Linked DNA regions of Alligator mississippiensis. The protein of the gene in region 4 purifies or fractionates together with the protein of the main gene of each other region. This does not show direct contact. Links are inferred from orthologs where the notes say so. Each region holds a gene or a part of one and is shown on either strand. Other genes may lie near its edges. The genes, in order: FGFR3, CLK3, YES1 and CDC37.

Region 1 (7,032 bases), on a different chromosome or scaffold from region 4:
TTTTGCACAATCTTTTCCTCAACAGTGCCCTGCGCATTCAAACCTCGCCCCTTGCCCACAACCGACTGGACAACGGGACACTGTGACAAGCCAACCAAAAAGTTTTGCTAGGCATATTTCAGATCCTCTTCATTTGAGTGGCTTTCCACATGTGCATGTTCTACCAAAAATCAATCTGGTTTTATAGCCTTCGGGGCTGTTTCAGTAACACTGTGCACATCAAAAGTGCGCGTGTGTGAAATCTCTTTTCTTACAGAGGGAAAACTCTGAACTGCTGCAACTGACAGAGAAACACTTACAAATATGCTGTGCATTAGTGGAACAGAAGCACTTAGATCAGGTCAAATCCTGCTCACGCATATGGGAACGTTGGCACCAGCTTCAGTGGGATCAGAAACGTGCCATTACTTTGAAGAGCCAATATGGTAAAAATAGAACGCGTATGTAGACTTTCCACAGAAAATTTGGAAATTTTGGTTACGTCCCTGGGAGATGCATCGCCCTAGGACCATTCTTTTTAACCACTTCTCTCCTAGAAAAACCCTGAAAGACTTGGGTGTACACTATTTGTTGTATTTCAAATGTCATCTCAACAATTTCAGCACTCATTCTGCCTTACAGGACGGAGCAACACTGCTTCATTATAATACTGCTGTGGCCCCCAAATTTATAATCTGCAGATGCTCAACTCCAGGGGGCTTCCAACGAAGCTAGTGGAGACTTTCCAGATTTATCCTGGGGTTACGAAGAGCAGAATTTTGCGCATAAAAGCCAACCCTGTATATTTTTGGCCTAAAATAGGAAGAAAAATGCTGCCACTGAAATTCAGCAACCCCCTTGCTCAGCTTACTAGCGCACGCTTTTCTTGTTTCCTTTGCAAACCCCAAACTCATCTGCTTTGACAAAGTAGCTGTGATGCTGCACTATAAATCAATTCTTTTGGCTGTGAAAAATGAGCCAAACAAGTTACACTAAGAATCTGGTGTTTTATTAGTACTTTCTCAAAAACAAAACCAACCCCACGTGTGATTTATGGCCGTAACCAAAAGCGGGGGGGGGGGGGGGGGGTAGACAGAGTGCCCCCACCCCTAGCCTCCACGAAGCACATTTTTTTCCCCTGTCACTTTTTTGGCAAACATGCCTCAACCCTTTCCTGAACAATGGGAACTTTTTGTTTGGTGCAAGGAACCTTAAAAAAGAGTGAAGCAGGAGAGGCGACCTTCCATTAAAGAGCTTTGAAAAAATAAACAGACTCAGGTAGCAGCTGAGGCATATCAGAGAGACACCAACTTTAAACAGTCTCTCTGTTTTTAAACCAGTTTTTGTCATGTACCTTATCTTTCCTTACTCATGATAGAAACATTTTCATTCAAGGCAGGAGAAGTTAGTAGATTCCCATAAATATTTCCTCCCTTTCAACACGTTCGCAATCCAGTACATCCTCTTCAAAACCTCCTCTTAAAAAAATTGGGATAAAACAAGGGGTATCATAGTTCTAAGAAGCATCCATACACACACAAATGCTTGCCTCTCATTCAGTCTGGATTTCAAATGTGTGTCTGCAATCTGGATAAGCAAATCTCTCTGCTGTTGCAAACTCCACGTACAAGCTGTGCCATGAACCAAATCTGTTGATACATGTTGTATGTATGTGACTGCAGAGATGTAACAAAAAGTCCTCTAAGAAAGTGAGCTCAATTCTAAATCTATTCTCACTGGGTCATTCTAGCCCGGATAAGCGGGAAAAAAAAACAACTGCAGGACAAACTCTACCAAATAAACAAACGTCCTCCCGAGTCCAGAACAGAGCAATCTCAAGCACAGGGCTGCACTGTGGATCTAACTCGTATTTGAAGCTAAAGTTTCAGTTCTGACTTCGGAGTCTAAATGATCAACAGAACACTTTACCCCTTGCTTGTGGTCCGAAAGGTGCTTACATTTATGACTAACCTGGGATTTACTGTGTGCTGCGCTCCATCCATACAGATGAGCACTGGTTTATACGATCTGCCCTCCCATCACCCTACCAAGAACCGGCATACGTTCCCCTTTATCTTTGGCTGGCCTTTATCGCGCCGCGCGCTTGAGCAGCAATCCAGAGGTGCCGGCTGTCAAGTGAAAGTCTTGGAAACCTCTGGGAATGCAAAGAATCTACAATGCACGGCTCCAAAATGATACCTCTTATTAGACCGGCTGAGAGATTACAAAACATACATATATATATATATATATATATATATATATATTTTTGGAACCAAGATTTCTACATTTTTGCCTTTCTTTTCGTCTCAGAAAACCACCTACATCCCGGAACATTTCAAGTGGACAGTGGGCTTTGCCTCCCGAAAGCGGCGCAGGCGCCGGGCTTTGCTGCCCGAGTGCATGGGGGAGATGTGCGAGGTCCCTTGCAGCCCCAGCGAGGAAAGCGTCACCCTTCCCAGTTGGAGGGGTGGGGGGCGGGGGGGGAAGCAAGCTCGCCGGGGCGCCCAGCACCTGCCAAGCGCAGCCTGAGGGTGCAGGAGAGATCTGGCCCCGCACCGCCCCGAGCATCCTCCCTCTTACCCGTGGGCTTGCGGGTGCTCCTGTCCTCCGGGTCCGAGCCGGGCAGCGTGGCCGCCGGGCGGCTGCCGACGGTCCCCACCAGGTACACACAGAAGAAGGCGCCCCACGCAGCAATCATTCCTGTGGCCGCGCTCCCGGGACGCGGACTGGTCGCGGCGCTGCCCCCGCCAGCCTCAGACATCGCGGGGCCGCATGCTGGCCGCCCTGCCCGGGCTCCCGATCACGCTGCAGGCTCTGCACGGGCGACACGCGCGCGGCCCGTCAGCGGGCGCAGCACCCCCGGGCCCGCGGGCACCAGCAGGTGCAGCCCAGCCCCGGCCCGGCCCGGCCCGCCCCACAGCCCCGCACCGCCGCCTACCTGCCCCGCGCATGCAGGAGCCGCCGCCGCCGCCGCCACTGCTCGCTCCGCAGCCGCCGCGCTTGTGAGCCCGGCCGCCCGCAGCCCCACTGCCTGCCCCGGACCCCGCCCCGCGCTCCGCCCGGCCCCGGGGGAGGGTCCGTGCTGCCGCCCCGCCTGCCCCGCGGGCATCCCGGCCCGGCCCGGCCCGGCCCGGCTCCCTCGCTCCCTCCCTGCCCGCAGCGCACCTGGCTGCGCTCCCGCCCCTCCACCGGGGTCCGGCGTCCCCGCAGCGCCCACAGTCATGTGGGGCCGGCGAGCAGCGCCTCCCCGCTGTCCTTGCACCACAGCCGCCCTTTCAAGGCGTAGTTAAGATGATGGGGGGGCTCTGAACTAGAGACACGCGGGCTCCGCGGCAAGTTTTAGAGTCAGGAGGAGATCTGGGGGGAAATCTCCAAATGGGGACCTTTGCGTGCGACTGACACACGAATAGACACACCTCGTGATGTGGTTTAGGGACTCGGCGGGTCGTAATGCGTCGAGGCTTAATTTTGAGGGTCTGTAAGCAAGGCGGATATTTGTGGCAACATTTTTGGGACCCCTAAGGTGTGGGGCCCTGGTTTGCCCACCCCGAAGGCTGCTGGTAGCTGGGGGCGTTCGTGGGGCTGGGACTGCGGACCAAAGAAGGTATGGGTAGTCTTGAGAGCTGCCCCTGACACCGGTCAGGGACGGGGGTCCCCCGGTAGCCAGATTTGGGGTCAGGAAAGTATTTTACTCTGTGGTGGGATGGGTAGGGACTGTGGGGGTTTTGCCTAACTAGGGGGTGGGGGTGGCCCTCCACCCAGGACCTCTGCAGCCTGTGTTGACAGTGTTTCATAGGGGCAGGACGCTGGGTGTCAGGTCTGTGCTCTGTCAGGGTTGATGGTCCTCTTGTTCAGAGTTTAGATTATGGACTGCACGGGATGGTTTGGATAGGGCTGATCCTGCCTCAGGTGGAGGTTGGACTAGATCAGTGGTTCTCAGCCTTTTTTGTACCGGGACCCATGTGTAAATGCTGTGTGGGGCCAGGGGTCCCCAAGCAGCCCCTTGCAAGCTGGACCTCTGTCAGCCTGTGAGGGAAAACTCACAAGTTTCCCGTGTTTTTCCTCTTTAAAGGAAGATCCATTTTTAAAGTTTGTTTGTAAACCTTTCATATATTCTTGCAACCCACTTTTGGGTCGTGACCCATGGTTTGAGAAATGCTGGACTAGACCCCCTGGAGGTCCCTTCTAGGCCTACTTCTATGATTCTTTGATTTCTCCCCTCTGATCCCTTCTCAGCACCTTGCCACCGGTGTCCCAAAAGGAGACATCCATCCAGGGATTATAACAATCAGTAGCAAAGGGATTGAATTTGATGATCCTTGGTTCCTAACAATCTAAAGCGAATATTACGGCACGTGGCCACTTTGAGAGTCCCTTCCAAATGAAAGATGATGCTCCAGGTTTAAACGCGCCTCAGGTTCTTATAGGTGGGGTGGAAGGAGAGCTGAGAAGAGGAAAGAAAAGTTCTGGATGGATCTCCTCAAAATGACGACAAACATCCTTTGCAATCCTGTAATGCAACGTAATGTAATGCGATGTAACACACTAGCGGGGTTTGATGATTCATTAGGTAGTATTTCCACAGCAGGCTGGGTAGCTGCGTCTGTGGAAGTGCTAGTTTTCATCGTCGTCATTAAACAGGGACGATCCGTATTTTATCCATCACTGGATTTTCATGTACATCATTGCTAGAAATGTATGTACAGCTTACATCACACATTGTCCCTGAAGATTTCTAGCCCTGTGGTGCCTAAACAGCGGGTGGCATTATCTAAAATGTTTCATTATATTTTTAATGGGACGAGGGCAAATTGACAAAAGTGTTATTTCAGATTGCATTAAAGCAGTCCAGTAAACAGAAGCACAGACTCCAAGAAACCAGTTTTAAGAGACTCTATACTATAGAGCCGGGTTCTTTAGCATATTTCCCTTCCTCTGAACAACGTGAGGTTTTTCTGTCCAGCTTCTTCACCATGTGTGGAGATTAAAATTCATTAAAAATTTTACAGCTATCTCATCATCATCTAAGGCAATGCAACATACCTACAGATACAGCCAAGCTGACTCATTGACATGCACCATTTGCCATTAAGAGGTGATTCAAATTGTATCATACTGAGAATAAGTCATACTTCTGTCTTAATCCTCTTGACAAAGTAATTCACTGAAGGAGGGAGATGCAAATATTAGCACATCAGCCGAGAAATCCCTTTATCAGGGCAGCAATAAAGCGCTCTTGTGCTGGAGTAGTTCACCTCAGCCTGTGCGGATACAGGACATTGTCAGAATTATAAAAACCGAACGTGAGTGTTACAGCACGCGGCAGCTTTGAGAGTCCCTTCCAAATTAATGATGATGTGCCAGGTTTAGATCTCAGTGTAACTCTAGAGTGGCTCCTGGTTTCACTGGAATTACTCTGAGTTTGCACTGTTGTAACCGAGATGGGAATCTGTCTTGAAACCTTCATCAGTCACACAGACAGTGACATCTCAATATCGTGTCAGAGAGCATTGAGATGGGCCTGTGGCAAGGAAATCTGAGCGGAGACTCTTGAGTGACACAATCACTTCAAGTGAAAACAATGGGGGGAAAATCAGACGCATAACTAAGATGTGGTTAATCTACAGGCTCAACAATTGGTAAGATGAAAGACAGTTACTTTCACAGCGCTTGTGTCAGAGGTGGCAGAAAATCAATAATAATAAAGCAATTATAAGAATAAAAATAGCGCGTGGAGCAAATTTGGAGGTCGTTATCATTTTGAAGACATCCAGGCTCCTGTTTTTTGAAAACGTGATCTCATATTATTGTATTGCCAGTGCAAAGAAAATCAGAAGTTTACCCAGCATTAATTAATGAACCCTCACACTTCCTCTTTAATTATTATCATCCTTGTTCTATGAGGCAATGGAGACTGAGAAATTAAATGCCTTTCCTAAGCCACAAAGTGAGTCTAGAAGAAGCAGTAACGTTTCTCTTGCCTCTAGGTCTGTGCTCAGGATGCTAGGACGTGCTATCACATCAGGTGATGCCAAGTGCTTCCTCAACTTGGTGAAAATATGAGTGAATTTCAGGATTACCTCTTATGATTCCTAAGAGATGTAACAACCTAGAAATCAAATCATGTAAACACAACCCTTTAATGGGTCTGAACTGTTTTTCATTTGGAGCTTATAACATTTGGAAGAGCTTATGATACTTGGAAGCCCTTTACAAGAGGAAATTAAAGTGGGATTGAGATGGTTCTGTAAGAACTTCAAGGTTTGTAGCTTTCCCTAGAGTGGAATAGTTTAAGTTTTCCCTTTTATCAACTCCTGGCCCAGTGCATTCACATTGAACTGTGGAATACAGATCTGCTTAAATGCTGATTTCTGGAAGCTGGATCCCCACTGGTGGTAATTGTAATAGCTCCCAAGATATCATGTGCAGCAAAAACTCAGATTCTGGATTGTGTCTCAGCCATGCTCCCACTATAAAATCCATTTATGTGGGACTGTAAACACTACACAACACTGTTTGAGTTGATTTTTATGGTCATTATGCCATAAGGTACATACGAACCAGGTTAAGTACAGCTTTCACCTTAATTTTTTGGTACATTTGTCAGTGAAAAAAATCATACTGCAGGAGTGGCTGGCATTGCTAATTCTTTGTTTACTTTTTACCACTGAAGAGACTGCGTTTTCAGACTTCTCGTTAGGCTTATTGGTGACCTTGAATATCCCCAGCTGCATGGAAAAGCAATTCTCTTCCAGATGCTCTAGAACAATAGATGCCCTTTTTCCTTGTGAATATTTGATACGAGCGTACCTTGCTGTATTCTCAACATCGGATTCTGTTCACATTATGTTCGAACGACATATATGCTGCACTCTGTTCTGAAAGAGACTGTCCGTCTGCTCTCTAGAGAGAGCAACTTGTTCAAAACCCTAAGACAAGTTAGTGTCAAAGCACCAAGAAATTAACTCTAAGAATGACTGTCTCATCCAGTTAGCTCTCAGCTTTCCCCCCACTGCTCATTACTGAGAAAGGTAATTTAGAAAGTGCCAA
Region 2 (7,555 bases), on a different chromosome or scaffold from region 4:
ACCATTATCTACAACTTTCCCCATTTGCTAACTCTTTAGAGATGCAGAGAGGATTCAGGGGTAACTAAGCAGCACAAAAGTGTATAGTTACAAACACTTAAAGAACCCACACCAAGCCTATATGGAGATAGTCATGATGTAAAACTAAACAGCAAAGGTTTTCATCAGTTAAGGTGGTTTCTTCATCCAGAAGATCACTATTCAATGTAGTCCATATGAAAGAATAGCGAAGCTGGAGTAACTAATCTTTAACTGCACCTGAACAACCTTGTCCATTCAGCAAGTGTATTCTGCTGTGCATTAATCATGTCTTAGCTTTCCATGGACTTCAATCCAAGGTTAAGAATGAAAGCACAGCCAAGAAAGTGGCAAAACAAGAGTTAAAGAATGTAATATTAGGCTAGGTATTCTTCTGCTGTACCTGTAAAGCTGACAGGCCTGCACCTGTGCTAGGCATCTCATCTCAAACGCTCAGATGAGAATCAAAGGTTTATCCAAAAACACAACAGCCATCTAAGGCAGACACCTGCCCACTCCACAGCAACTGCTTAGAAGACAGTCCAAGCCTTTGATAAAGCCTGCTCTCACCTTCGAGATCGTGATCTCCTTGAAAGATCCCTGCGAGGTGGGTATCTCAATCTGCCTTCGTATTCTCTGCTGCGAGACCTCTTCCTCTTCCATTTGTGATTCATGTAGGTCTCTTGCTCCGGGGATCGGTATCTCTTACAGTGATGCATCTGGGGCGCAATAAGGAAGGCACTTGAGTAAAAGGTATCAACTGGAACAAACTGTTGACAGTTTGCAAGTCTCATGGAGCTCCCTACTTATTAACTAAAGAAGGTGAAAACAAAAAGCCATGAGGAGATGAGAGAAAGAGCAACAAAAGTCATCACCAACATTAGTAATTACAGTTATAAATAAAGAAGTCTCCGCAATGTGTGCAACAGCAGGGAACAGTTGCACATCACCCTTTTTTCCAATCTAATACCTATTAACACCTACTACTACTCCCACTGAAAAACAATCAGAATATTTTTCTGGATTTTTCCACTCTCCACTGAGATTTCACTTTTTCCCTCATGTATTCAGCTCTCACACCATTTGCAAATATTTTATAAGCTAGAGATATACAAAAGTATTTTAAGCAAATAGGACATGTGATTGTAAGAGTACAGGGGTGGGGATAAGAATCTGGAACTAATTTAACTCCATTTATAATGGGACTAAATTAAATCAAGTGTTCCTTTACTACAATTAAACTCGGTCTTGATCAGCAGACCAGATGGCCTTTGTGCAGACCTTCTTGCTTTTTCATCATTCGTTTGAACTCATCCTGTGTTAATAATGCCTGGAAAGCCAGCACTATCAAAAGACATGAAATTAAAAAACATGGTGGCTAGAATAATGGCCCAATTAATGGCCTGTGCCCCCATGTTCCTCTGTCCTGCTCCAATATCACTAACTAGAAATGCCCCCAAGAGGATTCCCGTGCAAGAAGAAATCCTCTGGTGGCGCAGAGCAGTCACGGTAGCTATTGCATCTGCCTTACTTGGGAGAAGTAAATCTCACAGAAAGGGATGTGGCCTGGATACACCTACACAAGGGATTCCTGGCAGCTTAAGCAGCCTTGTGCAGTTCATGCACGAGCAGATCTTCTGCTCTCACTCCACAACCCCGTCAGCACCACGTATCAGATGGCAACTGAGCATAGAAGTCATTTCAGGAAACCTGGATCCAATTTTGTTTGAATGTAATATCACAATTATCAGTTACGTTAATACCCAAGAAAAGAATGCAAACCTCTCAAACCAGCAGCTCAAGATTTAAGATACTAAACCTGTACTACAAAACTACCACGCATTAAAGAAAAAATGCCCACCAAAACATTGTTTAAAGAAAAATCCCATTGAAAAGTCAGTTTAGATTCAAACCCAGAAGTGTCCAAACTCAAATAGCATAGCACTGTTATAATGTAAATAGGCATTAAAATGAAACTACTGTCTGGGGCTTGTAGTTCTGCACCGTAGAAAATGAAAGTCAGTCAGATGCAGAAAGGTCAAACTTTGTTTAAAAGAAAAACACACGTCAGGATCCCTTTATGGAACGGCTTCTTAACCCGTGTCTCTCCGCTGCCTTGTATGGATTGTGTGGCTCTCTCCTGCTCCCTTATTTCTAATTCATTTGCCCTTTTCTGTCCACCTCCCCTTCAAAACATCCTCCCCTCTTTTCCTTCAGGGTGGATGGCCTTTACCAGCTCCTCATCACATATTTGCCCCTCAACCTTCGTTGGCCCCCATATCCAGTGAATGTCCCTCCATCGCTTTCACTAGAAAGCATCAGTTTTGTTCCTGCAGGCAGCAACAGAGGTGGGCAGTGGCCAAGCTAAGCCACTACCGCCTCACAAGCAAGCGCCAGCCAAGAGAGGGAAAAACTAAGCAAGTAATCCCCATGCCCACAGCCTTCCCTTCCTTTCAACTACATGACTCCCCCATCTTTTTGCCTGCTTCCTCGTTTGCCCTACGCACATCACAAACACAACCCAAATCACCACGTGCCAAAGAGGCTTCTAGTTTTTGCTTTGACAGACGCCAGCCAGCAGATCCATTTTCAGCGCAAAAAACCTTTTACGAGGCCTTAATCCTTAACACAACCCGCCACCGCGCACGGACACTTGATCCTGGCCTGGAAGCGCCAAAGGACTTTGACCCATTTGTATCCTTGACGTGGCCGAAAGCTGCTGAAGAGGACTTGGCTGCCAATCCAAAATTAAAGCCCTCCTGATCCCTCCCCACCACAATGACTTTTTACAGCGTTGGCAGCATCTCACCGCAACGAATGCCTCGGCCCTCCACAGCCAGGACCCGGCTCTGCTGGTGCAGGAGGGCTCGGGATGCGCAATCCTCATCGGTACCAACCCCTGCTGTCCCGCAGGATTGGTGCGACGCACGCACGCCCCTGGGAGCATACGCAAAGCCAGCCCGAGTTTGCTTTTGGCAGGCTGCCCAGGCCAGTCGTTTGTCTGGCAAGGGAAAGGAGAGCTCCCGTCGGCCCTTGAAAACAAAGGGGATTCCCCCCCTCCCGTTAAAGCTTGAGGGAAAAAGCTGCCCCCCCCCGCGGCTGCGGCCACGACCCCCCGGCCCTTCCCTCGCGTCCGCAGCTCGGCGGTCCGGCGGGCGCCGCGCCAAGGGACAAAACGGGTTCCGCTCTCGACCTTTTTAGGCCCCGAGCCCCCTGGGCAAGCGCCGCCTCGCTTCTCGGCCCCGGCGCCGGGCGGGCACATCCCATCCGCGCCGTGCCGCTGCCTCCGACGCAGGGGTTGGCGCCCTCGTTGCCCCGGGGCGCGGGAGGCGGCTCCAGCCAAGGCGCATGCGCGTGAGGGGAGATCCGCGGAGGGGGCCGCGGGCGGGGCGCTGCAGGGATCCTCACTTCTGCCGCCCCCCCACCACCCCCGAGGGCCGGATGCGGAGCCGCCCCCTCCCCCCACACTCACCGCCGCGCGCCCCCTCAGCGCTGTGCTCTCGGGCCCAGCCAGGCCCCAGCCGCTGCTTCCGCTTCCGGCTGTCGCCCCGCTCCGACGACGACGCGCAGTGTGCGCGCGCAACCGCCTCCTGTCGCTAGAGCGGCGCTTCCGGGGGCGGCCCCTTCCGCGCGGCGCTCTAGCCGCCTTCTTGCTGGGCTTGGAGGATTGCGGAGCTGGGCCCAGGGCCGGGGGGGGGGCGGTGGGGAGCAGGGGCAGCCCCTTAAAGGGGCAGAGCGCTGCCCTGGGTCACCCTTGGGGCTCCCCAGCACCGCACCTCCCCTCCCCTCCCAGCCCAGGGGGTCCCCAGACCCCACTGCCCCTCCCCCCAGTTTTGGATCCCCCCTCGCCTGCGGGCAGAGTCTCACTGGTCCACGCCCGCAGGCTCCCCGGTGTCCCCTTTCCTTGTGCTTCACCTGCCACCTCGCCCTGCTTGTTACCTGTCCCCCAAGCGCCCTTGACGCAAACCCAGGAGCCGTCCCCGTAAGGGCGGAGGGCAACCACTGTTCTGGGCGCAAGGCCCACGTGTCCCGCACGCGTCAACCAGGCCTCGTGACTGACCTGTGACCTCACTCCCGTCCCTCTTTTCTGCTGATTTGCCCCAAGAAATCAGTTCCTGTATCTAGCGGTCTCCCTTCTTCCTTCCCACCACCTCCCGGGGCCTAGCAAGCCGACCCCGCCTCTCGAAGCGTAGGAAGTTCATTTGGGAGGGACCTCAGGAGGTCACATCTAGTCCAACCCCGTGCTCCAAGCAGGACCAGCCCCAACTACATCATCCCAGGCAAAGCGTTGTCAATCCAGGCCTTCAAAACCTCCAAGGATGGAGATGTCACCACCTCCCTAGGTAACCCGGCCCAGTGCTTCACCACCCTCCTAGTGAGAGTTTTTCCCAATATCCAACCTAAACCTCCCTTGCTGCATCTTGAGCCCGTTGCTCCTTGTTCTGGCACCTGCCACCACGGAGAACAGAGGTCAGTTCTTGGTTCAATGGTGAGGGACGGCTTTGTCTCCTCTGCCCGCTGCCTGGTGTTGAAAATCATGCACGGTGGGGATCTCACGAAAGCAAGGGCAGAGAAGCTGACGGCACGGACCAAGACGTGTATGGTTTGTGGGTCGGTCAGTGATAGTCCTGTAGTGCTGCGACCTGCAAAGGGCAAGTGGGTGGGAAGACACGTGTGGGGCTTTGTGAAGAGGAAAACAGCAGTTAGTGTAGATTTGAGGGTATTCTCCTTAATGCTTGCTGCATGTTGGGGTGCCAACCCGCCAGGATTGCCCTGGAGTCTCCAGGAATTAGATATAAATCTCCAGGAGACGGCTGAGAGTCACCGGAAGATAAATGATAGGGCATTCATTGAAATAAATATATTAAATGTTGAATCTGATTTATACAGTAGTCCAGTGGGTTTTGAAAATGTAATAATCATGTGCGTTTGCCTTCCTGGCCTGAAGCCCATGCACCTTAATCTGTAACTGATATACACAAGCATGTGGGCACGCTCGTGTGTGTCACAGGCACGTTGGCATTTGGGAAGCCTCCCGGAATAGATTCAGAGTTGGCAACCCTACCTGGATGGTACTATCCAGTTGTGTTTTGTAAGGGTAATACACCAGTGCTCTTTATACACATTAGTGCGTAACGGTGGTTCTCAACCTTGTTAGACTCAAGGTCCCCCTCAGAAAGTGCACGCTCTTAGCTTTCACCCATTTTTGACTATGGAAAAATAATAGAGCAACTCTTCTGTGACAAGGGTGTAGGTTGCAGCCGTGTTGGTCTAAGAACATAGGCAGACAAGGTTCTTTGGGTAAATCCGATATCTTTTATTTGAGTTGTTTTAATAAAAGATATTGGATTTACCCAAAGAACTTTGTCTGTCTTCTATGAACTCAAAACGACCGTAGCAGCTCAGAATGGTTTTGAAGCTTTGGTTTCCTGTTTGATGCCTCTGCGTTTATCTTGTGAATCATGTTTGCCTGCCTAGCAGTGCTACATTGAGTGGCACTCCTGAAAGACTCTCCAGGCACCCCAAGGTGCTGCAGCACCCCGGCTGAGAATAATTGGTGCATACAGTAAATTCTGCTTTGTTGCGTATTGATTATTTGCCTACTTTCCAGTAGGTCAAAAAACATTTACTATCTCTTCAGTTAAACATCACCCAATTATTTACATAATGGGTTTTTTTTAGCATATTTTGGTTTATTGCATAAGCCAGGACTAGAAAAAGAAAGCCAAAGAGAAATAATGCAATGGTTGAGTAGAGCAGTACGAAAAAAGATTTCCTCTTGCAACAGATGACTTACCATAATGTTTCAAGATATGAAATATTTTTGTAATCTAGTTGTTTTACAGTGTATTTTACTTTTTTTGAGATACATTACACATGATTCCTTTCATTAACCACCCTATTGCCTATATAGGACTGTTCATTCAACGGTATGTCTGAGAGAAGGAGAATTGATCAGTTTTGTGTGAGGTTTCCTTATTCATTACACACGTATACCATCACATGTAGGCCTAAGATGTAAATGAACAGCAATTCCCATAGTATTTCATTTATTCAGCACCCAGTCTTTAAAACTGGACAGAAAAATGTATGGAATGACTTGCAGTTCAGTGCCACATTAGGATCAGGAATTATGTTATCTGTTTCTGTTGCTTTTTAATGTATTTTTTGCAATTTTTTTCTGTTCCATTTATTAGTGTAGTCCACTTATTTGTACAGTTTGGATGGATGAATGAGTACACAAGTAACAGAAACATACTGCATTTATTCTTGACATTTCACCAACTGTACCCATTTCAAACAAATTCAGAAGTCTTGGTTCCCTAAATCTAAAATCACCCACATCTTAGTCCTTAAAAAAGAAGCAGAGCTGGAGTATGGCATGTAGATCTGGAAAAGAGTCAACATCTGAATACATTCACACCCAGCTCTGCCACTAACTGATAGTGTGGGTTCAGGCAAGTCACTTAGCTTCAGCATTCCCATTTGTCATGTGGGTGCCATTACACTAAGGCAAAATCATTGGTGTAATTCTGTTGAGTTTGCTAAATTACAACAGGGATATTTTTGGCCCCATATTTCTATCTAATCTCATAGGCTTGTTCCATGAATCAGTGTTTGCTCCACAGATACTGTAGCTGGTCGGTAAAAGCTCAAGGTTCTTGTTCTTTTTCTACTGAGACTAAATAAAAAGGGAAAGGTCCCAACAGCCCACTGAGCCCAGTCATGACTGGCATTCAATTGACCATGCCAGAATTTGGCTAAAATGCCTTTATTAAATCCAAAGGCCAATAGCAGTTTCATAGATTCATAGATTCATAGATTCATAGATGTTAGGGCCGGAAGGGACCTCAATAGATCATCGAGTCTGACCCCCTGCATAGGCAGGAAAGAGTGCTGGGTCTAGATGACCCCAGCTAGATGCTCATCTAACCTCCTCTTGAAGACCCCCAGGGTAGGGGAGAGCACCACCTCCCTTGGGAGCCCGTTCCAGACCTTGGCCACTCGAACTGTGAAGAAGTTTTTCCTAATGTCCAATCTAAATCTGCTCTCTGCTAGCTTGTGACCATTATTTCTTGTAACCCCCAGGGGCGCCTTGGTGAATAAATACTCACCAATTCCCTTCTGTGCCCCCGTGATGAACTTAAAGGCAACCACAAGGTCGCCTCTCAACCTTCTCTTGCGGAGGCTGAAAAGGTCCAGTTTCTCTAGTCTCTCCTCGTAGGGCTTGGTCTGCAGGCCCTTAACCATATGAGTTGCCCTTCTCTGGACCCTCTCCAGGTTATCCGCATCCTTCTTGAAGTGTGGCACCCAGAATTGCATGCAGTACTCCAACTGCGGTCTGACCAGCGCCCGATAGAGGGGAAGTATCACCTCCTTGGACCTATTCGTTATGCATCTGCTGATGCACGATAAAGTGCCATTGGCTTTTCTGATGGCTTCGTCACACTGCCGGCTCATGTTCATCTTGGAGTCCACTAGGACTCCAAGATCCCTTTCCACCTCTGTGCCACCCAGCAGGTCATTCCCTAGGCTG
Region 3 (7,874 bases), on a different chromosome or scaffold from region 4:
GTTGTGTGGGGCAGGCAAGAGCAGGGGCAGGCACTACAGGGGGCCAGGCACAGAGGGAAAGGAGGGTCAAGTGGTAGGGGGGAGGCAGGCACTGTGGGAAAGGGGCTGGGCCCAGGGTGCACAGGCACTGGAGACAGGGGGAATACAGGCTGCAAGGAGATCAAATGCTGAGAGGGACAGACAGCAGGAGCCAGCCACTTTACTCCCTTACCGCCTGCTCCCATGTTGCTGCAGCTGCTTGCCCAGCAGCAGTGGTGGGGGCACAAATATGAGACAACCCTGCAAAATCAGATTATATACATTAAAAATTATAACAAATTGATAAATTTTCCGTGTACAGAAGCTATTTATTGGGGGGTTGTCTTATATTCAATGTCATCTTTGATTAGCGTAAATATAGTAATTTTAAGCAAAAGTCAATGGGATGACCAGTTCTTTGAACAAAGAATCATCTTTTTGTTGTGTGATTACACAATGGACCCTGATCATTAACAAGGCTGTGATGGGATATAACAGCACAAGTAATAATACTATATGCATGCTTACAGTAAATGTTTGTATGGATAAGGCCTCCTACTGTAGTTGCTGCTCTTATTCTAGAGTTATTCATCTCTTCAGTGTCATTATATCAGAGGAAAACTGGGCATAATGTCTTTTGGATTCAGTTGCCAACAGAAATGTTGTGGCATATTTGTTCCTATATTTAAGTATTTTTCACACTTTATAAATATAACCATAATATTCATACATTTAGAATCCAAACAATACAAAACAATATCTATGATTCCAAGGCTGTACATCTACATTCAGGAAAATGCTGTGGATTCCTTTCAATTTTTATTCTGCTTTTAACTATTTCAAAGAAAAAGTACTTAATTATTTTGCAAATACCATGAAAAACCTGTTAATCTCTAATAAACAGCACATCGTTAAACACAAAATACCATGGAACAGAATTTCCCAGGAAAATATCCTGATAACATTTTAATTATTTTTTCTAAAGTGCACACTGGCACTTTTAAGTAGTCACAAGATCCAACGGATCTTCTATATCAGGTTTATATATATCATTATCAAAACATTTAAAAATACAAAGCTTTAATTTGTAACTAAAAACTCAAGGCCTGATTTTTAGATAGCACTTTGGAGCTGTATTTGGTAAGCTAAAAAGAATATTTGAAGATGTTTGTGCCCACATCATTCTGGTACCATTAAAACAACATCTTTATTCCTTGTTTTCAATGCTTGTTTTCAAAAACGATCCTTAAATGTTCCCTATGTGCATAAAGTGTAATGTGTTTTAATTTCTTCATGAATTGAATTTTCTGCCAAACTGCTTCAGAAATTTAACCCACTCTTATTTTTCAAAATCTCAGAATGGATGTTTTTTCCTTAGTCACTCATCAGTGACCTTTCATCTTTTTCTACATTTCCTCTCTGTTTTTTTCTGCTCTTTCTCTTCCTCAGAGACATACTTTATGCCTTCATTATCATTTGTATTGGAAAAGTGTCTAGACGATTTAGTCCTTCAATTAAGTAACCTAAATTTTTTTAAAAATCATTGTATAAATATGTAATTACATATTTAAATATAAAACCCAGAAAAAATTGGGCTAATTTTAAAAAGTCTATTTTTACGTATTTTGTATATGTGATATTTGCATATGATAACTATGCAGAAACAAATACTGTATTTTTGCATCTACCAGGTATGTGTGTATGTACATGTATCTGTATATGTTTATATAGCCATATATCCAGCTGTGCATCTAAAAACAGAGGCCAGGTTTTCAAAACCTTATTAAATTTACACTATGAGAATTCCTCCAAAATGCTTATTCTCATTTTAAGGGGTGATGGTCATCAAAATGCATGGGAGGATGCACTGAGCATCTGAGTCTTTTGACCAAGTTTCCAATAATGAGGAACTTTCACCATGATTGGGTGAATTAATAGAACTGCTTTCATACCATAATCGAGTTACCTCACCCCTGACATCTTATGTTCAAACTACAAGAGTTCACAAAAGCCAATGCACTCCTTTAGCTTAATCCTAATATTCACCAAGACAAAATTATTCTGAAGTGTATGCTAAGGATATCTGTATTAAGAAGATCTAAGATTTGGTCTTTTTTAAGATATGTAAGTTTGCCCTAGTGTCTGTTCTGTAAAATTAACTATGCAGCAATGGTTGCCCATCTATATAAACATACAGTTGAGCCCTCAGGCCAAATTCTGTTCTTATTCAACTCCAGTGTAAATCAAAATTAACTCCACTGACTTGTGTTAACGAGACCAGAATTTTAACCAGGCTGTGAATACTCCTTAAATCAGTCATTGGCAATTGAGTCTGTAAAACAATCTTATTCTCGTTAATTAAAAATCAATTCTATATATAGGATGTGAATACTTGAGGGAGAGTTACCATAAATGAAAGATTCAACTAATTTTAAAAAGATCAGATGGATGAAATATATGTTGAGGAAATGTTTCATTCCAACATGTCAAATTGCTTTTCATACTATTATTTTATAAACTGCTTCTTGATACAAATGGGAAGGGTGTGATATAAACAAACTATGCACTCACATTGGTTTGAAATCACAGGTTGCAATTGTATACCACAACTGGCATACAATTTGTATTGGTGTACAATACAATGTAAATCACAAGATCATCTATTTAAAACATGAAAAATACTTAGCAGTGAATTAGTATGCTTATTATTACAGCACCTTCAACTTTGGAAACAAATGCTGGCCTGATACTGCAAGTACAAATACACGTATAAATTAGGTTTGAAAATAAGTACTCCTGAGAGAGACTGATTTGTACATGTGAAGCTGGAAACCTCACAGAGGTGGAAAGGGATCTTGGAGTCCTAGTGGCACAGAGGTGGAAAGGGATCTTGGAGTCCTAGTGGACTCCAAGTTGAACATGAGCCGGCAGTGTGACGAAGCCATCAGAAAAGCCAATGGCACTTTATCGTGCATCAGCAGATGCATGACAAATAGGTCCAGGGAGGTGATACTTCCCCTCTATAGGGCGTTGGTCAGACCGCAGTTGGAGTACTGCGTGCAATTCTGGGCGCCACACTTCAAGAAGGATGCGGATAACCTGGAGAGGGTACAGCGAAGGGCAACTCGTATGGTCAAGGGCCTGCAGACCAAGCCCTACGAGGAGAGACTAGAGAAATTGGACCTTTTCAGCCTCCGCAAGAGAAGGTTGAGAGGCGACCTTGTGGCTGCCTATAAGTTCATCACGGGGGCACAGAAGGGAATTGGTGAGGATTTATTCACCAAGGCGCCCCCGGGGGTTACAAGAAACAATGGCCACAAGCTAGCAGAGAGCAGATTTAGACTGGACATTAGGAAGAACTTCTTCACAGTTCGAGTGGCCAAGGTCTGGAACGGGCTCCCAAGGGAGGTGGTGCTCTCCCCTACCCTGGGGGTCTTCAAGAGGAGGTTAGACGAGTATCTAGCTGGGGTCATCTAGACCCAGCACTCTTTCCTGCTTATGTAGGGGGTTGGACTTGATGATCTATTGAGGTCCCTTCCGACCCTAACATCTATGAATCTATGAATCTATGAAACCTTTGGTTTATAAGCTTTCCTTTTTTCTCATTCTTGTGTTTTGTGATCATAAGGTTAGCTGCATTTGCAGGTGAACTCTCTCTCTCAACTCTCCTTTGTGGCAGACTTCCTTCCTTGCAAAGTTATCACTGTAAATGTGAAATGCTGATTCATGAGCCTGAGGTCACTGGAAACTGGGTGGTGTAGAACTGGATGTTACATGATCTTGAGCTCTTCTACTGTTGTGATATCCATCTGAACTGTCCCTAGTTCAGGATCCGGGGCTGCAAGCAGTGTCCAAAACACAGCAGAAGGAGAACTCCAGTGCTTCCCCCTCTATCCCCCAGTGGTCTCATTTGCCTCACTTGAACAAATTTTAAAAGGTAACTTGCAAGCAAGCAAGCTTGCACATCTGCCCAGGTTTACTCATTTGGAGACTCCCTCGGAAGGGACTCAATTTACAGCTATTGCGCAAGCCACTCTCTTGACAGAGCCTGGGGTGGGGGGGAAGGATTTCAAATCTGTTTTCTGAAAGTCTTCTTGCTGAGCCAATCCTGGATTGCCCCAGAGCCAGTCCTCAATCCTGGACTACCCTGGGGCCAATCCCAGACTGTGCCAGGGCCGGCCCTGGACTACCTGGGGACAGGCCCGGACAGAACCGACCCTAAAGGTGTGCGGGGCCTGGGGCATATCCGCCTGTGCAGGGGCCAGACATGGCGAGAGGCCGAAGCGCAGAGCTAGTGGCACATGGTGGCCACGCAGAGTGGTGGTGGCCTCAGCACGTGCCAATGGCACTGCCCGCAAGGCCTGTACAGCATGGGTCACGGGGCCCCCCCCCAAAGTGTGGAGCCTGGGGCGGTCGCCCCAATTCCCGAGCCACTCCAATCCAGGGTCAGTCCTTAATCCTGGACTCCCTAGGGATAATCCTGGACTCCAAAACCATTCCCCGACTGTGCCAGGGCTAATCCTGGACTACCCAGGGCCAGCCCTAGAGTCAATCCCAGGCCCAATCCTCTATCCTGGACTACCTGGGGCCAATCCTCAACCCCGGAGTGTCCTGGGGCCAATCCTGGATGATTCCCGGGCCAATCCCGGACTATCCCAAACCAACCCTAAGCCAAATCCCGGGGCCATTCCCCGGCCCCAGGGAGCGGGAGGCAGGCAAGCGCCCGCCGCCCGACCCCGCCCTTCAGGGCCCTCGGGCAGGAGCAGCGCCCCCTGCGGGCCGGGCCGGGCGAACGAGAGCCTCCCCCGCGCGTCGGCCGCCGCCATGTTGGGCCGGCGTGTTGCGCTCGGGCCGCACTGAAGGGGCGCCGCCGCCTGCCGGGAACAGGGTGTGAGCGCCGTGCCCGGCCCGGCCCGGCCCCACCCCTCCCCGCCGCCGCACGGTGCGGGGAGCCCGGCGGCAGCGGGAGGAGGCGGGGAGGCCCCTCGCTCCCTGTCTCGCTGGCGGAGCGGAGCGGCCGGCTCCCCGCGTGCACAGCCCAGCCCAGCCCAGCCGGTCGCGGCCTTTCCTCCTCGACCCAGCGGCCAGAGCAGCTGCAGGTGAGGCCCCGCTCCCCGGGGAGGCCGCGGCGGCGCTAGGCCCCGCACACCGCGCCCTCCTGCGGGGGCGCCTGGCTCTGAGGAAAGTTTGCGGGGAACTTTTTTTGGGGGGTGCGGGGCGCGGCGGCCCCCGGGGCGGCCCCGTCTCGCGTGGGGGGTGGGGAGCCGCGCCGCCCGCCTGGGCTGAGGGAAGGCGCCGCGCCTCCTCGCTTTGTGCGCGCTGGGTGGGTGGGGGCCCAGCTGCGTGTCCCTCCCACCCGCGCCTGGGGCGAGCTTTGCTCTTTGCCTCTCCCCCCTCCCCCGGCTTTGTCTGTCTTCCTTGGTCGCTTGTGCTGCGTGTGGGTTTCAGGACTGGGAGGCATTGGCACATGCTGCCCAGAGAGGCTGTGTCATCTCCATCCTTGGAGGTTTTTAAGACAAAGCCTTGGTGGGGATGATGCAGTGGGGTCTGGTCCTGCTTGGAGGAGGGGAGTGGGGGGGTGGGATTAATGTCCCTTCCAGCCCTCATGTGACGGGTTCAGGCCTCGGTTGACCCGGGAGGCGAAGGCAGCTCTCTGTAAAAGCGTCCTGTTCTGTCCCAGCAGTGCTGGAAAAGGCAGACATCAGGGAAATGCATTTTTCCAGTCCTCTGTAGCCTGGTGTCCCTGCTTTCCTCCGGTAATGCATCTGTGCTCCCCTCTGTTCTCCTTGTGGCGACTTGTATCCGAGAGGCAAGGCATCTCTAGGACCATGCCTTTTCTCAGACCAGCCACCTGGCTGAGATAGTTGAACGTCCACATTACGAGATCTCTTGCCTTCGAAAGCTCGTCTATCGGGGGCGCAGTGACTTACAGGTTTACGTTTGCAGTAGTTGCCCTTTGTGGAGCCTGCTTGTTTTTGAAAAAAATCAGATGGAGAAAGCGTAGGCCCTCAGTCTTGTGGAGACATGTACTTGACTTTGCACCTTGTGAGTAGTCATCTATTGATGCATGGTCCATCGAGTTCTGCACGGGAGTGAATACCAGCAGGCTGGGGGCTATAGGCTGTACACCTTAGGCAACAAGTGCATACCGTTGTATTTATTTCGGTAATTCCAACTCCACATGTTTTGTGACCAGGGATATGGACCATTTTGCTTTGTTTGGGTAGAGTAGAATATTGTTCTAGAGAGTGATTTATTCAAATATACCATGCTAATTAAATATTAGGCAAGGTGTCCTTTTTAGGGTACTACTCCCCCAAGTTCTGTAACGTTAACATAGTGCTTTTTCATAAATTCTTCACGTTTTGTAAATTTCAAAAACAACTCCTTTAGTTAACAATATAACTTGGACCTCAGTCTTGCAAAAGCTTAAGCATATGTGTAACTTCATTTAAAAGTAGGGTCCAATGAGTCCACATTCACAAAACTAAGCAGGGATGTTAAGTTTTGCGGAGTCAGGGCCTTAGTACTTAGTACTAACGAGACAGTATTTGCAACATGAATGAAGTATAATACACGGATCAGAAGGGATTATTTTTCTCCCCAAAGCAAAAGACTACAGTAAACACGTTTACAGAAGGGGAAAAATAAAAGCCTGGGATAAAAGGCAGAAACTGATTGTTATGCGTCTTTGGTTGTTGGTTTTCATTACTTTCCATCAATTTAGGCCCAAATCCTGCTTTCACAGTCCCTTCAGCGGGAACACAGTTAGTCCTTAAATACCTTTAATTTGTATTTCTTATTATAAAGTAGAATTTATTCAATTATTTTTGCATAGTATTTTCTACCAAAATGGGATTTTGGCTTCTAGGGGAAAAATGTGTGTGTAAAAATATATATTTGAACGGTCAGATTATTTTATGTATTGTATATAGCTAGTGTAACTATAATAATTTCAGAGAAATCCAGAGCGGGGGGAAATGCCCCCTGCAACCCCACAGCTCCCAGGAGCGGGACCATGCAGGACAGCATGGTGTGTACACACACACCCACACCCACCCACCCCCTGTGGCGTGGCTCCTTCCCCTCTCCTCCCCACCCCAAGTCTACTGTTAAAGCAACACTGTTTGCAGCCCAGAGGAGTCCAGACCAGGGAGCAGCCCATTGTCTGGGCTCCTTGGAGAAAACTGAAGCAAAAGTTCCATGTTGGCACAAAGCTGCCCACATGTGCCAGGCTTCTGAGTCAGGAGGCAAGCAGGACAGTCTGCACAAATCTGGGATTTTTGCTTCAACTTTCTCCAATGGCTAGGACGCTGAGATGGCCAGGACAGTTCCAGATTTCAGAGGCTAAACCAGGACATATGGTCACCCTATATATAGCTCAGAAAAAATACTGCTTTTGCAGGGGTGTAGTATGTTAGAAGGTACTAAGTTAAAGTAGTTAGTCAGATGCCAGTTTTTACCTGCCATGTCATGTACCAAAATAATGTAAAACTACAAGAGAGTCTATTCCTTTAACACACCAGGAGGGCTTTGAGTGTATTGTTACCCATATTCATGTAACAGAACAAACAATACAACGTTTTATGCTCTAGAATAGAACCTTCTTTATTTTGATATGCAATATACTTCCAGCATCTCCAAGAGAGTAAATCAAAACTATTCACTGTGTTCCACTGTGGTAAATGTGTGTTGTCACGTGACTAGTGTACAAATGTCTATTTTGTGACAAACTATAAAACAAGCTCTGGTTATATAAACTGGCATTTAAGTGGTAGCATGACTTTACTGCTCTATACATTTCTATTTGTCTTTGGACAAAAGCAAGACCTTAGCAATAAATTTTCAGTCAGATA
Region 4 (7,515 bases):
GCACAGGTTGAGTCATGTCTGGAGCTCAGGGCAGCATTTTCTGCTTTGGGAGCTCCTGGAGGGGGTGTAAGGCCAAAGCTTCTGCCTGCCACCCAAGGCCACTGGGAGTGCTCTACCACAACAGTCATGTGCCACAGCTTCAGCTCTGGTGCATATCACTGCTGAGGCTGGAACTACCTCAGCCAACGGGGTGTGTTCCCAGCCCTGGACACAGCTCCACCCAGGACAACACATGTGAAACACAACCTCTGCAGTGACCTGGCCCAAGCATGAGGCTCTGTTAGTCCCTAGGGCACGTGGGATGCTGCCGTTGGAGGTCATCTGCTAAACTGGGACCTGTTAAAAATACCTGGACTTGGCCCAGTGCCTCACTACACCCCAACCCCCAGGCTGGACTGCAGCTAGTAAGCTCACATTAATATCTCAAGCTAACAGCAGTATCTACAGCTATGGGGGCCAAGCTCCTTGGCAGGCATGCCATGCGTCACCCCTACGCCCTCCCCAAGTGCCACTGTGATCCCCTTCCCCTTCCTGATCTACTCCCTGCCCCACCTGCTGCTGCGCTGCCTGTATCCTCCCTGATCTGCCCCATGCCACAGCTTAGCCATCTCTGATCTAACCCTCTTGCAGAGGCTAGTGGAATCTTGAAAAATTAAGTCTCTTTCCTGCTGGTTCCCAAATGCTAGCAGCTGGGGAGAGAGATAGGGTTACCAGCTAAAGAACAGGTCTCCACCTAGAGAAAGATCCCTGGTTTGTCACAACAGAGCTCACCTGGGATATTCCTGGTGCTGTGTTAAGCCACTTCCCTCAGCAAGGACTGAGCCCTGTACCGCACAGGAAGCTTGGGGTTCTCTTCCAGGAGCTGCCACTGACCCACTGCAAGGACTCAGGCCTTGTCCAGGGGAAGCATCAGTTTTCCAAGCTCCCGCTTAGCTCATTTGGGCTCCCAAGTGCCCAGTTCCACTATTCCTTTGTACAGTTGCAGTTATCTACAGCCCCAACCTCCCCCTCTGCCAGCATTGACCCCAGCAGCCTCTAGTATCAAGGAACATGTCTGAGCCATGGAGAAGAGGCCAGAGGGGGACAGACACCAAGTGTCTACAACTGCAGATACACAGAGGCAGTCACAGACCAGTCGCGCACTGGTCTCTCTCCTCCCTTGTACTTCAGTCTCCCTGCCTGTACTATGGGTCTTTACCTGTAACTCAGGCTCCACATCGTAAGAACATATAACACTCCCATCCCTGTTGTTTTACCATGTGTCCATGGAACCTATTGGCACCTTTTCCTGTAGCCTCCACACCTGAGGGAGGCTAATAAAACACTTGGTGAGCTAGGCCCATGTTCTTAAAGGTGACAAATAGGCCTATGTCACACTGCAACGGAGAGCAGATGCTAGAAAGAAGAATGAACAGGGGTTTTCCCCACTGTTCCTCTCTTGCTTGCAGCCTCCAGCATTTAAGGCCTACGGAGTTTGGATTCAGAGGCTCACTCCTGTGCTCAGTCACGACCAATGCCCTTTTCCTCGAGATCTTACAAAGCAGCTGGGAAAAGAGGGGTCACCAGAGAGGCACTAATAGTGAGGCACTAATAGTGAGGCATATCCTTGGGTGGGGGAGAGGTCCAAGAGACACCCCTGAGCACGCACTGCTGCATGCAGTCCAATGGGGCCGGGCCACAGCCAGGGCTCGGGGCACCACTACTTTCCTGGGCTGGGCACATGGGAGGCTGATGCCATCCCCCACTATGCCAGAGATGCGCTCTGCGACACAAGCCAAGTTCCTCAGCCTCACAGCTCCCACCTGCACAATGGGATGGCAGCACTGCCCAACTGCATGGGGCTGCAAGGACTGACGCTGTGAGACTGAGGAGCTCAGGGGCCAAAGACAGACCACATAAGAGCAGCGTTGGCCCTTTTCACAGCTAACTGCAATGGTCAGTCAGCCAGGATAGCCAGGCCCCAGCCAGGACTGCCAGCTGGCACCATTCATTTGTGCTGGGCCGGGCCGGGCTGGAGGGGAGATGGAAATGACAGAGATGGTAGCAACTCAATTGAGCAGTGAGAGACATTCCAGGTTTGCTGGCTGACAGCACAGGCAAAGACCCTAGCCAAGGACTCTGCAAGGGTAAAGTGGACAGGCTGCCTCCCAAACCAGGCAAGATGAGCCATGCAGGGGGTAGGGCGCTGAATCAGGCAGCACCCTCAGGGCAGGAGCAACTCAGTCACAGCACTGACACAAGGGCACAGATCCTGGAGTTTCCTTGGGGCTGTGCATCTGCAGCCCCAGGAAGACCAGGCCTGTCCTGAGCTAGAAACACAATCTTGGGGTCAGGGGTTCTTAGGGGAGCCAGGCCCACAGAGAGGAGCACGTGGGACAGTGCAGAGCACAGCACCAGAGGAGCAGAGCAGGGGGGTGTCTGTTGGGATGGGGATCCCATGGGGAAGAAGTAGGGGGGAACCCTGAGGACAAGGATGAGGTGTGGGGGACACCTACAGAGTCTCTACAAGGCTGCCCCCCGGGCCTAGTTTCCGTGGAAATGGGTCTCCTCAAAGACTTGTCCCTGGGGGAGAGGCTTGTTCCTATGGGGACAGAATGTGACCCCTAGGCGGGGGCGGGATGGAGGCTGGCTCCCATGCAGACAGACCTCCCAGGGGGATTCCATGGAGCTAAGGGAGGGCTCCTGAAGGAGGAGACAGAGGATCTCCCCAAGGCCAGGCCCGGGACGGGGGTTCCATGGAGAAGGGGTAGGGCTCCTGGGGAAGCCCCCCAAGGCCTGGTGCGGGGGAGGTGGTTGCCATGCAGGCAACCATGGGGGGCGGGGGGAGCTCTGCACGCACCTGGTGCCGCCATCGGAAGAGACTGGCGGTGTCGATGTTGGGGTGCGTCTCATCCTCATCGTCCGACACCTCGATATGGTCCCACACGCTATAGTCCACCATGGTTGCGCAGGGCCGGCCCGCGCCGCTCCCGCCGGGCCCTTCTGGAACCCTCCAGCACCGCGCACGCCCACTTCCGCCCGACCTCTCATCACTTCCGCCAGCCCTCCCCGCTTTCCGTTCAGCAGCCCGTTTTGGCTTCCCCGGCGCCACTACGCACGCGCGCCGCTGCCCACCTTGTCTGCCCTGTGGGGAGCGGGTGCCTCCCTTTGCCGCGCATGCGGGCGGCCAAGAGGAGCATCATCCCTCCCCTCCCAGTTGCTTAGTGTGCTTGCATCGTCGTCCCAACTCAAGATGGCGTGGGCATTAAAGGTGTACACACCTCAAGTACAGTGTGATGGGAGGGCTTCCTTCCATGTGTCTAACGTGGTGGGAGAGGGAGGAGAGTCCCCGGATGAGGCACATGCTGGGATACCTCTCCAGGACACATGCGGGGAGGGGGAGGGGACCCCCCACTGCTACCCTCGAGGAGGGGAAGGACCCCCTGAGCTATGCACAAGTGGGGTGGGGCAAGGGATTGCCCCGCCCACCCCTCCTGCCATGCACATAGTGGGGGAGAGGAAAGGTCAGTGTGCCCTCCTCCCCCCTATTTTGGTGCTTACAGCCCCCCAGCCCTCATCCTGCTTTGGTGCTGGGGCTGGCCATGAAGGGCCTGGTCTGTGCTACTTTGAGGCATACCTAGCAACTGCAAGCCAGGAGCTCGGGGCTGGATCCTTCAAGGCTGGACATGGGAAAGCCTCCTGGCCTCACCCCCTCACAGCTACTGGCGCCTGCCATGAGGGAAACCTGGTGCCTGCAACCATAGGGGTTGGGAAGGGCCAACCCCTCCCCACTTGCATCCATGGCCAGAACCTTGCATGGACTCAGGACTGGTCCCATCCATTGCATTGGTTGTGGGGTTGCTCTGAGCCTTGTAGCCGCTGGCAGGGCGGAAACATGAGTGCAAACACATAAGTACACATGTTCCCTGCTGAAGGATCTCAGCCAGATATAGATTCCCCCCTGGCTGTCAGCAGCCCCCAAAGCTGGGGGGACTGACTAGGAATGGCTCAGACTCCAGGAAAACACCTGTGCCCAGGTCCTGAGTCTCTTTGGTGGTGTTTGAATTCTGTCTCCCCACCTCCAGAGGCTGGATGCAACCCCCAGCAGATTCCCAATGTTTTCCCCACTAGCTTGGTCCCCGCAGCTGCAGGTCACCCAGTTCTCTGCCCCACCAGCCCCTCAGTAAGGAGTGTAGGTTTAGCCATGCCAGGACTGTCATCGCTTCATCAAGGCTGCAAACAGCGCTGCCCACGGCCACGGAGCTGTTGCTTGGAATTCCAGCCTTGTACCAGCTCTGCACAGCCTGGAAACTCCTTCCACTTATAGTTTCATATTAGGTAAGGTCGGAAGGGACCTGAGCAGATCATCAAGTCCACCCCCCTGCCATGGGCAGGAAAGAATGCTGGGGTCAAATGACCCCGGCTTGGTGATTATCTAGCCTCCTTTTGAAGACCCCCAGGGTAAAGAAGACCCCTCCTTTTGAAAACTCCTTTTGAAGACTCCCCAGCTCCATGCTTGGGCTCAGTGGGCCTTGATGCAATGATATCTCAGAACCAAGGCCTGAAGATGGATCCCTTCATGGCCTGTGACTGCGATGGAATATAGGACACAGAATGGGTGAAAGGAGCTGGAGGAGATTCCTCCTGCACCAGAGGTAGCTGCATGTCAGGGTGGTGGGCAGCATGGACTTCCAGTTGGGTCCAAAGCCAGCAATGCTGAGTCCCTGCTTCATTCCACGCTCCCAAACCCCCTGGATCAAAGCTCTCTAGCCCTGGCCCTGTGATGAGACCTCACTCCCTGACCTGCTCTTCCTGGCCAGGCTGCTCTTAGAGATGCTTCCAGAGCTCTTAACTGTCTCCCAGGCAGCCACGTGGAGGAGCAAGGGAGGCCTGCAAATCCCACATCCCCAGTACCATCATCCAGAGCAGCAGCCAGGGCCAAGCTAGGGGATCTTCCTGCCCAGGGTGATGCTGCAGTGGCCCTCAGTGCCCCCCAGACAGATCTATACCCCCTCCATTGCAGCAGTGGCCCCCTGCACTTGGTCACTTCCTATCATGCTTCCTTCCCCCTCCCCCGAACCCCAGCAGAACTTTGTGCTGTTTCAAGGATCTGCAGACCAGGCAACAAATGCTGGCAGATCCCCCTTCCCCAGGCTCCTGTTTTTTGCCATTCCAGACCTTCCCCAGCACAGCCAGGCCAGTGCAGGGCTGCAGCTGAGCTGGTGTCTGTCCTGCTGCTAGCAAAGGCTGGTGCCAGGCCATGCTGTGGTGCATGGGCTGTGTGCCAAGGCAAAGGCCTGGCATGGCCAGGACAGAGCCTAGGGGAGCAGGCAGGTGGCAGGAGCATATGGCAGAGGCCATGGGGAGCCAAAAGGACTGGAACAAGGCCTGCCAGTGGTGAGCACTACCCTGCAGCCACTGAGGCCTGGCTGAATTGGTGGGGGTGGGGCAGTTCAGACCTGCCACTGCCTCCCTGCATGGCTGTGGCCACATCCCCTGACTCCTGCAGGTTGCAGGTGTGACCTATTGGGTGGCCTTTCCCTCCCCCAGGCTGGATCCAGATGCAGCAGGGCTGCTGCAGCACGGTGTCTCTGCCAGGGACCCCACAGACCTTGGTATGGCCTGCCTCTTGCAGGGCCTGTGCAGGGCCTGGCACCATCAAGGTACTACCAGGGCAGGCCTCCTGTTGACAGCTCTGTGACCTGATCACAAGGCCGTGGGAGAGAGTGGAGAATCAGATGGGGAGGCAGGATGCCTGGGTTTTGCCCCTGCCCTGTGGGGTGACCCCCCTGCCTGCCCCCCCAATCCCAGAGCCTCAATTTCCCAGCCTGGTCTGTGTCTGGCAGCTGTACTATGTGGGCTGCTGGTCTGGTGGGGAGTCTCCCCAAGTTTGCATGGTCCATGCAGCCCCATGGCTGGGAGGAGCATCTGCTCTTCACCCCAGTGGGCATCCCCAGGGCCCTGGGGCTGGAGGGTGTTAGTATTTCTGCTTCCATTGATTTCCCCTCCCCCCACCATGGTCCAGGGTGTGGTGCAAGCTTGACTGCCCTTGACATGTTGCCCCATGGGACAACTGCCCTGGCTGCAGCTGGCTCTCAGGCAGGAAGTAAGTGGCAGCCCCCAAACCCCCTTCCAAAGTAGGGGGAAGAGGCAGGGAAAGACAGAAGGGCTTTCCTTCAGAAACCCAGGCCTGGGACCCCCAAGCCCCAGCCAGCATGGGGCTAGTGGCCATGAGAGCTCGATCCCAGCCCCCATCCTGTCCCTGGGAACTGGGGGAGGATGAGTTAGAACAGCCCCGATGCTGCTCTAAGTGACACTCAAGATGTCGAGGAGCCCCGGGGGAGGAAGAGATGCAGCCAGAACCCAGACCCGGCCCCCAAGCTGCGAGGGGAAGAAGGGAGCGACCTCGGGTGAGAGAGGCAGGAATGGAGGGGGGTGCAGGCAGGGCCGGGCTGTGAGGGGCGCCGGGCTGGGCGTAGAGCAACCCGCTGTGCGCCTCGGGGAGACGGTCCTGCCCCCGCTCCCCCGCCCCGGGGAACCAGCGCCGGCGGCTCCGTTCACACGCTCTGGCCGCTGCCCGCTGCTCCTAGCGCCCAGCACTCGCTGGGAACCCTGGCGTCCGGGGCACGGGCACACACACCCCCGGGGAACCCAGGCGTCCGGGACATGCTCACACACACGCAACCCAGGCGTCCGAGACAGACCCCCCACCCCCGGGAACCCAGGCGTCCGGGACACACACGTCCCCTCCCGGGGGAACCCGGGCGTCCGGGGCACGCACGCACGCAGACAAACACACACACACGCGCGCACGCATACCCGGGGAACCCAGGCGTCCGGGGCACACACGCGCACACACGCGCGCGCGGGGAACCCAGGCATCCAGGGCACCGCGGCGGTGCCTGGATGGGAGGGCGGTGCGCGGCGCCCCGGCCCGGCGAGGTAAGGGGCAGAGCCGAGGGCGGGGGGTCCTGGGGGCGGACCGCAGCCTCCCCCCGCCCGGGGCCGCTGGGGGGCTGCTCCGGGGTTCGATGCTGCGGCAGCGCCTGCGAGTCTGGCATCCGCAGGCGGCTGTATAGGGGGAGCCCGGCTCCGGCTCCAGGTCCCTCCGGCCCTAGCGCTGGAAAAGGCAGGGACTCCAACTCCGCGGGGAGGCGGCACAGGATGGAGGCGACCACCACCTCGGTCCCTGCCCGGCTCCCCCCACGCGGTGCCAGCCGTCTGCGGAGGCCAGGCTGGGGCCAAAATCCGGCCCGGAGCAGGGGAGATGCGGGTCTGAGGTCGTTGGGGCCTTGGGTGGGCCCCCTCCCTCGGGGGTGAAAAGGGTTAACGCCGCACCCTAACATCACCCCAGTGGGGTAAGACTCGGCCCCAGTTGGGAGGAAGGTCTTCCTACCTCCACCTGCTGCTCCTGCCTCAGTTTCCCTTCATGGGGGTCCCATGCTTGCCTGATGGGGCCCAGCCTGGATGGCTATGGGTCAGTGGCATGGGTGGGGAGCAGGCAGGCTCATGGGGGCCTCGGGCCTCCAGCCTCTC

What was found.
Region 1: the proteins of CDC37 (region 4) and FGFR3 purify together in Homo sapiens (affinity purification with mass spectrometry; 4 studies listed by BioGRID and IntAct, with this or other methods). This does not show direct contact. The link is inferred for Alligator mississippiensis from reciprocal best matches to the Homo sapiens genes CDC37 and FGFR3.
Region 2: the proteins of CDC37 (region 4) and CLK3 purify together in Homo sapiens (affinity purification with mass spectrometry; 4 studies listed by BioGRID and IntAct, counting the BioPlex papers as one, with this or other methods). This does not show direct contact. The link is inferred for Alligator mississippiensis from reciprocal best matches to the Homo sapiens genes CDC37 and CLK3.
Region 3: the proteins of CDC37 (region 4) and YES1 purify together in Homo sapiens (affinity purification with mass spectrometry; 3 studies listed by BioGRID and IntAct, counting the BioPlex papers as one, with this or other methods). This does not show direct contact. The link is inferred for Alligator mississippiensis from reciprocal best matches to the Homo sapiens genes CDC37 and YES1.

Annotation. Positions count from the first base shown.
Region 1 is NC_081825.1:18,441,981-18,449,012, reverse strand, and holds the start of FGFR3 (fibroblast growth factor receptor 3), read right to left. Parts: upstream 3,008-7,032; 5' UTR 2,921-3,007; intron 2,797-2,920; 5' UTR 2,744-2,796; coding exon 2,563-2,743; intron 1-2,562.
Region 2 is NC_081834.1:41,769,295-41,776,849, forward strand, and holds the start of CLK3 (dual specificity protein kinase CLK3), read right to left. Parts: upstream 3,020-7,555; 5' UTR 2,966-3,019; coding exon 2,828-2,965; intron 738-2,827; coding exon 589-737; intron 1-588. UniProt on the Homo sapiens protein: Dual specificity kinase acting on both serine/threonine and tyrosine-containing substrates. Phosphorylates serine- and arginine-rich (SR) proteins of the spliceosomal complex.
Region 3 is NC_081826.1:89,119,759-89,127,632, reverse strand, and holds the start of YES1 (tyrosine-protein kinase Yes), read left to right. Parts: upstream 1-4,863; 5' UTR 4,864-5,117; intron 5,118-7,874. UniProt on the Homo sapiens protein: Non-receptor protein tyrosine kinase that is involved in the regulation of cell growth and survival, apoptosis, cell-cell adhesion, cytoskeleton remodeling, and differentiation.
Region 4 is NC_081831.1:22,389,147-22,396,661, forward strand, and holds the start of CDC37 (hsp90 co-chaperone Cdc37), read right to left. Parts: upstream 3,012-7,515; 5' UTR 2,942-3,011; coding exon 2,840-2,941; intron 1-2,839. UniProt on the Homo sapiens protein: Co-chaperone that binds to numerous kinases and promotes their interaction with the Hsp90 complex, resulting in stabilization and promotion of their activity. Inhibits HSP90AA1 ATPase activity.